Saccharomyces cerevisiae S288C: one gene and its partners. The gene in region 3 interacts genetically with the main gene of each other region. Each region holds a gene or a part of one and is shown on either strand. Other genes may lie near its edges. The genes, in order: PRP22, MSC1 and SIL1.

Region 1 (3,600 bases), on a different chromosome or scaffold from region 3:
GAAAATTTAGCAGAGTTCAAAGTAGCCGATGTAACTATTACTTTTAATTCTGGCCTTTTAATAGCCGCTTTCTTTAACAACGCAAATAAAACATCAGTTGCCACAGTTCTTTCGTGAGCTTCATCTAACATGATAACTGAATATTTTGACATCTCGGGATCTAACAACGCCTCTCTCTGTAACATACCATCAGTCATATATTTTATTCTGGTATCTGGGCCAGTAACATCTTCAAATCTAATGGTATAGCCAACGTCATGGCCAACTTTGCAGCCAACTTCTTCAGCCACTCTTTTAGCAACGGATACAGCGGCAACCCTACGAGGTTGGGTACATCCGATCATCCCATAGTTACTAAACCCTTCTTCATCTAAATACTGAGTAATTTGAGTGGTTTTACCCGAACCTGTCTCACCAACAATGACCAGAAATTGATTGTCACGCACAGCCTGTATCAATTCAGACCTCATCGCGTATACAGGCAAAGTTTGACGCTGTGCACTGATTGGTAAGGAAGTTCTTTTGCCATACGAGATAGATTCATTCATTCTATTTTTTTCCCATTCAGTAACAATCAGCTGGTTTTTCAACATTTGAATTTCGTTCCTGGAATCTTTTTTGTTTTTCGTAGGATCATCAAACGACTGTTGTTTCCTAATCTGTTGTTCAATCTCTCTTTTTTTCCTTAACTTTTCTTCTCTATGATCTCGTATTGCATTAGAGCCGTTGATTGCTGAACGATTCATAAATCCTCTCGGGACTTTTGTAATTTTAGGCATTTCATATTTCTTGGCCCCCTTGACTTGCTGATCCTTTAAAAATTTGGGCCCATCATCTGTATTCAGCTCGACATCAATTTCATCCGTCTCGTCTCGTTGTTGTTCTTCCAATTTTGAGTCCACTTTCTCTGTATTACCGTTAACGATACTGCCGTCATCTCTTTTCGCGGTCAAATAGGAAGTATTTATGGGTATTTCATCCTTCAATTCAGGATAGTCATCGATGGAAGCAGCACCGCTGGCAATTAGTTGGCGAATTTCCCATCTTTCTGGTGAAGTCAAAGCACGCCTTTTAATTTTGTTTTTCATATTTCTGCTTGTATGAGCATCGTTGGACCTACCTCTATCTTCGACACTTTCAGTATTTCTTTTCCGGATTTCTCCACTATGTTGATCAATATTTTTCATGGAGAGCGATATTTTTCCATTATTTTGTATTTTTATCACTTCGACAAAGATATGTTGGCCTTGTCTCACCACATCATGTGGATCTAATGTTCTTTGGTCTGACATTTCTGAAATATGAACTAAGCCATCACAATTCTTCATTCGCGTCCCAAAAATTTGGACGAAACACCCAAAAGTAGTTATGTTTCTCACTTTACCTTCATAAACTTTGTGAAGGACAGGGCTGGGGTCTAAACTTTCTATTTTTTGTACCTCTTCTTCAATCTTTGCTTCTATCTTTGCTGGTATCTTGGTGCTTGGAAGAACTGAGACTTCTTCTTTCATTACTGGTGGTGATGCAATTTGATATATCTTGAAAATTGTTTCATTATCGAGTCCGCTTTGCATCAAGTTCAGTTGTTCCTGGAACTCAGTTATTGATTTAGATTTATTCAAAATGCTCAGGACGAATTCAGTCACAACAGGGTCGTCCAAATTAACGTCATCTTTCAGTACCTGATTAATTTTTTGACTTAACGGTGAACTTTTAACTTTATTTCGTACCTTTTCTTCTTCCTGCTTTCCTAAAAATGCATTATACATCTTAATACTGTCTTCGTAGGATATACCGGCATCCAATTTTTGAATATTTCGTATAAACTCTTGTAAATTGCCGGATTTATTTATGATATTCAGCACAAATTCAATGATAACGGGGTCATCAGATCCCACAATAGCTCCTATGAGTTTCGATATATCAGACATCTCTAATATCTTTGTGTTACCTATGTTGAAAATTAGCTTCGTAGTGCGAAATATAGCGCATTAACAACATGAGATGACAGCATTTGAACAAGTAATAAACCATCTCAAAAGTACTATCGTAGCCCTACATTGCTTCTTCAAAATATTCTCATGCGGGTAACATAATTACAACTTTTCGAATTGGTTATAACGAAGCGGTATCAGCATTGATTGGGATTCATTTGCAATAGATCAGATGATATCTCACTCTGCCAACAAAAAATGAGAAATTGTCTTATTTCTGATACATTTGCTATTATAACGGATGAAAAAACTATAATAACTTTATTTAATTTTATGAACGAGGAAGATAATTACTTTAGTATATCATTAGCAATCACCTTTTCCGTGTGATTACACTGAATATCTTTCACTGTGCCTGGAAGTCATCTACTTGTCTTATGCCATCTTTATCCACGATTTTAACAATGACGCCCTTGAAGTCCATTGGCATTCTTTTTTCAAGCTCTTGTACACATAGTTTTAATAAATCTAAACCCTCCTCAGTAGTCATATCAGGTCTATAATGATGATCTAGTAAAGAGAATGTGTAAAACCCCGAGTAACCATGAGCACCATAGGGTAATTCGACTTTAGTACCCAAGTAGTCAATTTGATATAGTTCCGGTTTGTTCTTCTTTTTGTCATAGCCTCCAATCAATACGTTGACTTGGTATGGTCTTCTCGACCTAATTGACTTGGCTAATTCTTGCCTAACAAAACTAGATACTGCTTGTGGAGAGAGCTCATAATCTTCTCTAATGGAGTATAATTGGATATTGGCTTGAATGTACTCGGCGAATTGAACGGTGTCACCAGCTTCACCGGCAAAACTCATCAATGTATGTGGCGATAATTGTCTCGTTTTATCATCAGAATCTTTTAAAACAGAAATACCTCTTGTGACTGCCTTAGAAGACGCTAGAATGACAGAATCCTGTACACGGATGCCCAGAATAATATCCATTTCTTAATATATCTTTCTTAGTATTGTATATGAACCTATTTAAAAGACGTGCCCGAAGTTTGTTCTTTTTTATTCGATTGACAGGTGCTCCCTTTTCTTGTAATTGGTGTTCAATATTCACTTTTCTTTATTTTTTGCCACCGTAAAGATTTCGCTGCGAAAGATGCCCCGGCCTAGATGTAGATGACGGAGCTTTGCTGATGCAGTAATACGCATTGATATTTGAGAGGCGTCGATAGTATCATAGAGAACCTGTCAAAAGGAATTCACCGCATGGTTTTCATAAGAGATTGCGTTATGAACAGTTTTCACTACGTTAATGAGCCTCGTTCGAATGTAAATCAGAGGACTTGTGGGCAGGAAAGTTATAATTATCTCTTCAATGAACCTAAAGAAATTACATGTTCAAGACTCGGTGTTAATTTATTTTAACTACGCCGCCTGTCTGAGTCCTTATAACGTGTAGGAATGGTAAAAACGATGGAGTGCAGAGCCTTCCTACTTTTTCGCTAAAAGACTAAAAGAAGGTGGTGTTATGTTGCTGTGCGCTTCTCGGATAGTCAGAACCCAGGCTCAAACTATCAGGATTCAGCCTATTTAATTTACTACCACATCATATTCATATGAGGTATGTCAAATTATGATTGTAGCCATCAAAAAAGT
Region 2 (3,837 bases), on a different chromosome or scaffold from region 3:
ATATACGGATGAAAAGAAAAATTGGGGAGAAAAGTACATTACGTTGACACCCCAATCATTAGTTGAACCCTAATATGCTTTTCGACCAGTTTTTAACGTTATGTAGGTACCTCTTGTAAGCAGGCTCCTTAACAGTGCCGAACAACCATTGCGTATTCTGCTTGGCCAAGTTGATTAAGTCGTCCTTCGTAGAAGTCTGTTTAACCGGAACACCGAATGATTTTAGGTACTGCAATAGGTCTTCTTGAGACCAGCTCTGAAAGGTATTTGACCAGGTCTTAGCGATTTGGTCCTTAGCATCATTTGTGTTTTTGGAAACCTTGTCAAAATCCTGCATAATTGTGGAGTAAGTCTGAGAATCTTGGAAGTCGTCCTTTTTGTCAGCAAACCAACCCTTTATGTCATCCAAAGACCAGTTACTGTTGTCAAAGTATTTTTGGTAGTCTTTTGGCAGGATCTTGAGTTTTTCGTTTCTGGATTTTTTGACTAATTCTCTCAATTGATGTTCAGTAGACAGCATTGAGTACTTAATACCACGAGCATCTAAAAACATTTTCAATTTGTCCTTTGGCCAAGAGTCTAGGCCAACCAAAAAAGTATCATTGATCACATTGTCAGTCTTACCTCTGAACTTGGAGTACAAATTTGTGAGGAAATTTTTAGAAGAGTCCCAAACGGAACCAACGTATTCTGGGGTCTTGGTCAAAAATGGAGAAGACTCTCTTTTCATATAGTCCAGGTACCAGTAGATATCATCTTTCAAATTGGCAGAATTTTCTTTGGCCATTCTAACCAAATAGTCGTGTTTCTTGGCCATGTTCTTGTCAATATTGACCTTGTGGCTCTCCAACCAATTGGTTAACTGATCACTAGACCACTTGTCAAATACAGTGTCTTTTATTTGTCCCGATGTGTCTAATATTTGTTGGTGAGCCAAATCCAAGCTTTCTAGCAAACCCAGACGCTGCTGTTCTGCCTTTTCTGAAGTTCGGTAGATGTTTTCCTTGACTTTCTGAACTAGCTCGTCCTTGCTTTGAACTGCCTTGTCGTAGTCGATACCATTGTCATTCAACCAGTTTTGCAAATCTTTGGTTGACCAGCTATCAAAGTAAGAGCTAGAAGGATAGTATCCCGACGACTTCAAAGATTTGGAAATCTTGTTGAAGTTCTCCTTAGCAGTCTTCACCAGCGAGTCCTTGGAAGCCTTAGCGTCGTCAACATCCACGCCGTTTTTCTTCAAGAAGTTACGTAGACTGTCTGTGGACCAGGTGTCAAAGAGCCAGTCAGAAACTGGGTGATCCGAAGAACCAGTATAACCAAACCATCCGGGGTTACTGTTGCTCACGCTACTGCTGTCACTAGACCACACCTGCCACCATGGTTTGGGCTGCGCGTGTTTGTCCCATACCTGCGATGCCTCCGTTTTCAAGTCCTCAATGGAGTCTGTAGCGTACTTTTCCAAGCTCTTCTTATTATCACGTAAATAATCGGCCAGGTCTTCCTGCGTCCACTTGTCGAACACTGAATCTGAATTGGCCAACACTAAGCCAATAAGCACAAATGATGCGGAAACCGCATTAACCAACTTGAATTGCTTCATCTTCTTCTCTTAATTAACAGTTCTTTTGTAGTTGTCTCCTCTTCTATTGCAGATCCTCTTCTAAACTCCGGTAATCTAATCATGCTAGGAATACGACTCCATGAGTGGCTTTAAATACCCTGTCGATCCCCTTTCACCGCCTCCTTGTTTCCTCCCTCTCCCTTATTTTCCTTCAGTTCCAAAGATCCCTTATTCTTCCCCTCTAAGGTGAGGCCGGCGTAATGCTGTTGCTTACCGACGTAATGGTGGAAAAGGTGAAAAAAGTGAAAATAGTGATATTCTTAGAGAAAAACGAAAACAACAAGTCGTGTCAAGAGGTAGTGTTTTGGGAAAGACGTCATAGAGAAAGGCAGAAAGCTTGTAAAGAAGTGGAAATAAAGATTGAAGATGAACTCGTTAGCTTCAAACACACCGCTAAATGGTACTCCAGTAAGCGAGGCACCCGCCACAAGCTCCGAGCCTGTGAACATGTTCGAGACAATGGTGGCTAACCCTATTAAAGTGTCTCGATTACAGTCTAATGGAGTTCTGACGGGACCTGCAGCCAATACTAAGTCCATCCACTATTCGCTGGCCAATTTTAATGTGTTCCAGTCGCTACCCAAGGAAACGGCCAGAGGTGTAGACGATTTGACGAGGATGGAGATGGCGTTACTGAGTGGGATACCGGAGGAGATTAAGTGGTCTTTAAAAAAATATCTTACGTATAGTAACAAGGCGCCATATATGATCAGCTTACGGACATTGCCGGACCTGTTGCCACTTTTCAAGACTTTCATATTGCCTTTGGAGCGCATCGTGGAAGGTCTTAACAAATCGTCTATATGTGATTCAAAGGCGATGGATTCTCTACAAATGGGTCTAAATGCCTTGCTGATCCTAAGGAATCTGGCTCAAGATACTGATTCGGTGCAGATACTAGTCAAGGATCGAGAAATCAAATCTTTCATTCTTTTCATTTTGAAGAAGTTTCAGTGCGTCGCTACAGGCGATAACAAGTGGCAATTGTACGAAGGAAATGCAACTTTTTTTAACGAGTTGACCCATTATACTCTGGACTTGATGGAGGCCATTTCGTCCTATATTGCTCCTGCAATGAAGGATGATCATTATTTCCAAACGCTGGTGTCCATCTTGAACTACACTAAGGACAGATACATGGTTATTTCTATATTGAGGTCTCTTTCAAGATTACTGGTTAGGTCCAAAGCTAACGAGGAAAGTGCAGCGGACAATTTGGACCATAAGACTCTTTCGTTGATCGTTTCCTTTTTACTGTTAGAATGCGATAGTGAGCTGATTATTGCTTCGTTGGATTTCCTCTATCAATACATTTTGCCCGGTTCTCAAAGAATCACTGAGTTATTCAAGAGTAAGGAGTGCTCTTTGATACTGGAAGCCACGCTGCCTAATTTATTATCATATAATATCGCCACACCAGATTACCATCTTTTGCAAAAGCACAAAATTAGGTTGATTAAAAGGTTGAAGCCTCCCGCTCCAAAGGAGCCTCCCAATTTATCTGAGGATCTGTTTCAACAACTTTTCAAACTTAACGAGCCCTTGAGGTCAACCGCTTGGTTGAGATGTTGCTTTGAGCCTGTACAAGAAGCAGAATTTACACAAATATCGCTTTGGAGATCCTACGAATCCAAATTTGGTCAGCCTGTTCGCGAATCCGGACGCAAATTGTTACCTGCCGTGGAATTCATCAAGAATGTCTCGAATGCTTTCAATAACGCCGCTGCTATCGTAATCACTGACCCGGTAACCGGCAAGAAAAGGTTTGTTATCAAGGGCATTCAACCAAGATTTAAAGCTTTGGGTATTGCAGACGGGGAAAGAGAATCCCAGGTACCCATTTCGGCACTAAAATCCAAATTTTTGAATGACTCTAAGGAAATTACACCTGCAAGACAAAACAGCATACCAGAGGTCAAATTCCCTCAAGAACTCTCAGATGTTTCTAAAGTGGCCTGTACGTTTTTGTGCCTTTTATCCAACGACACGGATGATGGTGCTGGTTCCGCATTTTGTCAACGCATCAGGCCACTGGTTCTACATAAATTGGCTGATATTCCACCTTTAACATTAGCATTGTCTGAATACATGGAAAACACGTCGGGGTTATGAATGAGAAAAAAAATCGGTTGGGCTTAACTTTAAAGAAAAAAGTTGAGATTAGATTTATTGTGTTATAAATATAGATATACAATTCTTTATAAAAAAAATATATA
Region 3 (3,825 bases):
GAAGAATTTAAACTATTTGGGTACCTAAGCAGTGAGAAACCCAGTGCCATATTCAAAGTGCAAATACCGAGCTCGAAGAAAGACGCTGGAGATACAAGTGATGGATTAGGTGAGATAGACATGGATGTAGATGATGGTTCGGGGGCCGCTGATCCGTTTACTGACACCAATGGAAGTAGCAGTAATAACATATCAGAATTGATTATTGGTATTTCCATTGAGCCTCGAGAACAAGGAATGATGAAATTAGAAGAGTGGAAGGCCAGCATGAATGCCGAAGCACAAAAGAACAACTCATTGATCTTGTCAAGACCTAACTTAGGAATAATTCGAAATATTACCACGGCAGGGCAGTTGGCACAAGTTTACCCTTCATTGACACAAGAATTGGCCGCCAAAATCGTTCAGCATGCATATAACTATTTATCAGGGTTCCTAGATGCTCAGGGAAACGTGCCCATCAAGAGGTTTGATACATGGTGGGACAAATTTAGAAATAGACTGGCCAACGACGGGACGTTTTTGGATGAAGTAACTAAAAATTAGACACGGATATATAATATATCTCTAATAAGATTCACGAAATATTAATTGAAAAAAATATTATTAATATTAAACTATATATGCAATGACAGTGAAATCAGAGTTCATCTCTGAAATTTTTTATTCTATGAGCCATGGGGTTGCCAAAGATCAAGTGTCTGCTGTCGATAAGTTTCTTATCAAATGAGTCTTGTTCAGTATCTCTCTCTTGGAGCCCATTGTCCAAGTTAGATTGCCTGGCTTTACATTGTTGCGCTAACCAATTCAAAAACCCTTTGTTGATCGTGATGTCACTTTTGAAAATTTTCTTCAAGTTGTAAAGGGTGTCAAAAAACGTTCTTGTATGTAGTTCATCTATACTTTTGTTCTGGACCATCTCTTGGAACTCGTTTGCCCACTCTTGCAGATTTGACGACCAATTCTCAGCATTTCTTTTGAACAAAATTAGATTTGTATCGTCATTTTCGTACATGTCGGCCTTCAAAATTTTGCTGATCAACTCCAGGACTTTTATTTGTAACTGTTTGTCCTTGTTGTTTCTTTCATATACATTTTGTAAAACAACCGTAGAGTATATAGGAAGATCTTCGGATGTGACAGGTAATTCGTTTAAAATGGACAAGTATCTTTTTATTAGGATATTAGAGGATCTGTGGTTAGAATCATTCAAATTTGACAGAGCGGCCATGATTTTGCTTTTAAAATTTGGAAAACTTTCATTAATGAACTCGACTACAGGAGGATTGTTTCTCAAGCAGCTGGTAATGACTCTAGTACTGAGCTCTCTCAATGTTAACGGCAAATTTTCATTGAGACTAAGGTTGGCCAAGAGGGCGAATTCATGGGTAATAATTTTGTAGCCGTGCTTGTAATCATGCGCAAATTCCATTATTCTATCAAAACTATCCTCCAATCTGGCAATGTCCTGTGAAGATAAAGTCGGGTTAGAATCTATGATGTTTCTCATTTCTTTGAAATCACTGGAAAATTCATAGTCACCAGGCGATGCTTTCATGTCTTCTGAAGATACAATTAACTCATGGCTACCATTATCACCGACATTCTTCTCATCATTTAGTTTTGCCTCTTTTAAACCTGTGTCCATGTTTATTCTAATGTCCAAACCACCGGGGAGTTCTTGACCTGGCAGTATGGGCTGCCAATCGTGTCTTGGTTCAAATATCTTAGGATAGCAACGATTATCAACGCAGATCGAATTCCCTGAAATTTCAAGTTCTTTAAGATCTTCTGCAGATATGATTTCGCCTCCAGATGGCACTGAGTGTATGGATGAATGCAATATTGTACTCGCCACTAATTTCGAAGATAGGGCGCTCAAAATTATGGGAAGAATCCGGACCATTCTAAGTTTGCGTTCTTGGAAGTGATATTCAATATCGAGAACTTCCAGCGATGCGAAAACTAGTCTATTATAGTTGCTAATGTGTGCTCTATCATTTACGTGGCCTTTTCACATAGTCTGGTCTTTCTTAATTATCACAATTCCGTTACCCGAAATCTAATCTCGTGTTTAGCTTCGATCTGCGGACGTTACTTCTAACGTCCAGAACACTTCACCCGCTATTTACGTTTTGATCTAGTTGCGGCCTCCAAACCTGCAGATGAATCGTTCATTACATTCTTGCTGCCACTAGTTGGCCGCTGCGTATACAACAAGAAATATACTATGCATTTATGTAACGCGCTTTAGTCAGTAGCCTCAGTAATGCCTTTTCTAAGGTCAGTATGTCAATATCTCTCGGGTGAACCCCAACATTGTTGTTCTTTCTTCGTTGTTTCTCTCTCTTATCATCTTCTGTGTCTTTGCTTTCTTTTGTTCACAATTTCTCGAGAAAAAAAACTCCGCAGGAAATTTTTCACTTTTATTTTGCTTATACTATAAATAGGAAGGTCCCTGAACTGATTTGTTGACAGTGTTGCATTTCGTATATAAAAGTAAACAGTGGGCTGTAACAAACATATTATATATCACTCGCTACACACACAGCTCTAAATAGCTATGTTACTACGTTCTCTTACAAGTGCCTTCGTTTTAAGTGCTGGTTTGGCTCAGGCTGCTAGCAGCAGTAACAGTTCCACACCATCCATTGAAATTAAAGGCAATGCATTTTTTAATTCGGAATCAGGTGAAAGGTTTTATATCCGTGGTGTTGATTACCAGCCTGGTGGTTCTTCTAACTTGACTGATCCCTTAGCAGACGCATCTGTCTGTGACAGAGACGTCCCCGTTCTGAAAGATCTAGGGATAAATACTGTCAGAGTTTATACTGTGGATAACTCGCAAGATCATTCCCATTGTATGAAACTATTGCAGGAGAACGGTATATACTTGATCCTGGATGTCAATACCCCCACGAGTGCTATTTCTCGTTACGATCCAGCCTGCTCCTATAACGCTGACTACTTACAAAATGTCTTTGCCACCATTGATACCTTTGCTGATTACGACAATGTTCTAGGTTTTTTCGCTGGTAACGAGGTCATCAATAGTGTTAATACTACCAACACTGCTACTTATGTCAAGGCAGTGGTCAGGGACATGAAGAAATACATCAAGGCTAGAAAATACAGACAAATTCCGGTAGGTTACTCGGCTGCTGATATCGTCGCTAACAGACAATTGGCTGCTGAATACTTTAACTGTGGTGATGAAGCTGACGCTAGAATCGACATGTTTGGTGTTAATGACTATTCTTGGTGTGGTGAATCTTCATTTGTGGTATCGGGTTATTCCACCAAGATGAAGCTATATCAAGATTACTCCGTTCCTGTCTTCTTAAGTGAATTTGGTTGTAACCAAGTCAAGAGCTCTCGTCCATTCACAGAAATTGAAGCTATCTATTCCACTCAAATGTCTTCTGTATTCTCCGGTGGGCTAGTCTACGAATATTCCAATGAAACTAACAATTACGGGCTCGTTCAAATTGATGGTGACAAGGTCACTAAATTGACAGATTTTGAAAACTTGAAAAATGAATACAGCAAAGTATCCAACCCAGAAGGCAATGGTGGTTACAGTACTTCCAACAACTATTCTACATGTCCTGATTATGAAAAGGGTGTCTGGGAAGCTAATAACACTTTGCCTGCTATGCCAAGTGCTGCTTCTGCTTACTTCACATCTGGAGCAGGTTCTCCTATGGGAACCGGAATCGCCACCCAACAAAGTTGTGATGCTAAGGACGATGACGACGAAGAAGACGACGACACCTCCTCTTCATCCTCTTCTTCCTCTTCATCTTCATCTTCCGCTTCTTCATC

What was found.
Region 1: mutations in SIL1 (region 3) and PRP22 together harm fitness more than expected from each alone (negative genetic interaction), as found in Saccharomyces cerevisiae (2 studies listed by BioGRID).
Region 2: mutations in SIL1 (region 3) and MSC1 together harm fitness more than expected from each alone (negative genetic interaction), as found in Saccharomyces cerevisiae (2 studies listed by BioGRID).

Annotation. Positions count from the first base shown.
Region 1 is NC_001137.3:177,172-180,771, reverse strand, and holds the start of PRP22 (DEAH-box ATP-dependent RNA helicase PRP22), read right to left. Parts: upstream 1,932-3,600; coding exon 1-1,931. Other genes in the region: PRE1 (proteasome core particle subunit beta 4), read right to left, coding at 2,341-2,937.
Region 2 is NC_001145.3:15,077-18,913, forward strand, and holds MSC1 (double-strand break repair enhancer MSC1), read right to left. Parts: upstream 1,601-3,837; coding exon 59-1,600; downstream 1-58. Other genes in the region: RSC9 (Rsc9p), read left to right, coding at 1,988-3,733.
Region 3 is NC_001147.6:265,624-269,448, forward strand, and holds SIL1 (Sil1p), read right to left. Parts: upstream 1,907-3,825; coding exon 641-1,906; downstream 1-640. Other genes in the region: OPI10 (Opi10p), read left to right, coding at 1-546; GAS5 (1,3-beta-glucanosyltransferase), read left to right, coding at 2,564-3,825. UniProt on the Saccharomyces cerevisiae protein: Required for protein translocation and folding in the endoplasmic reticulum (ER). Functions as a nucleotide exchange factor for the ER lumenal chaperone KAR2.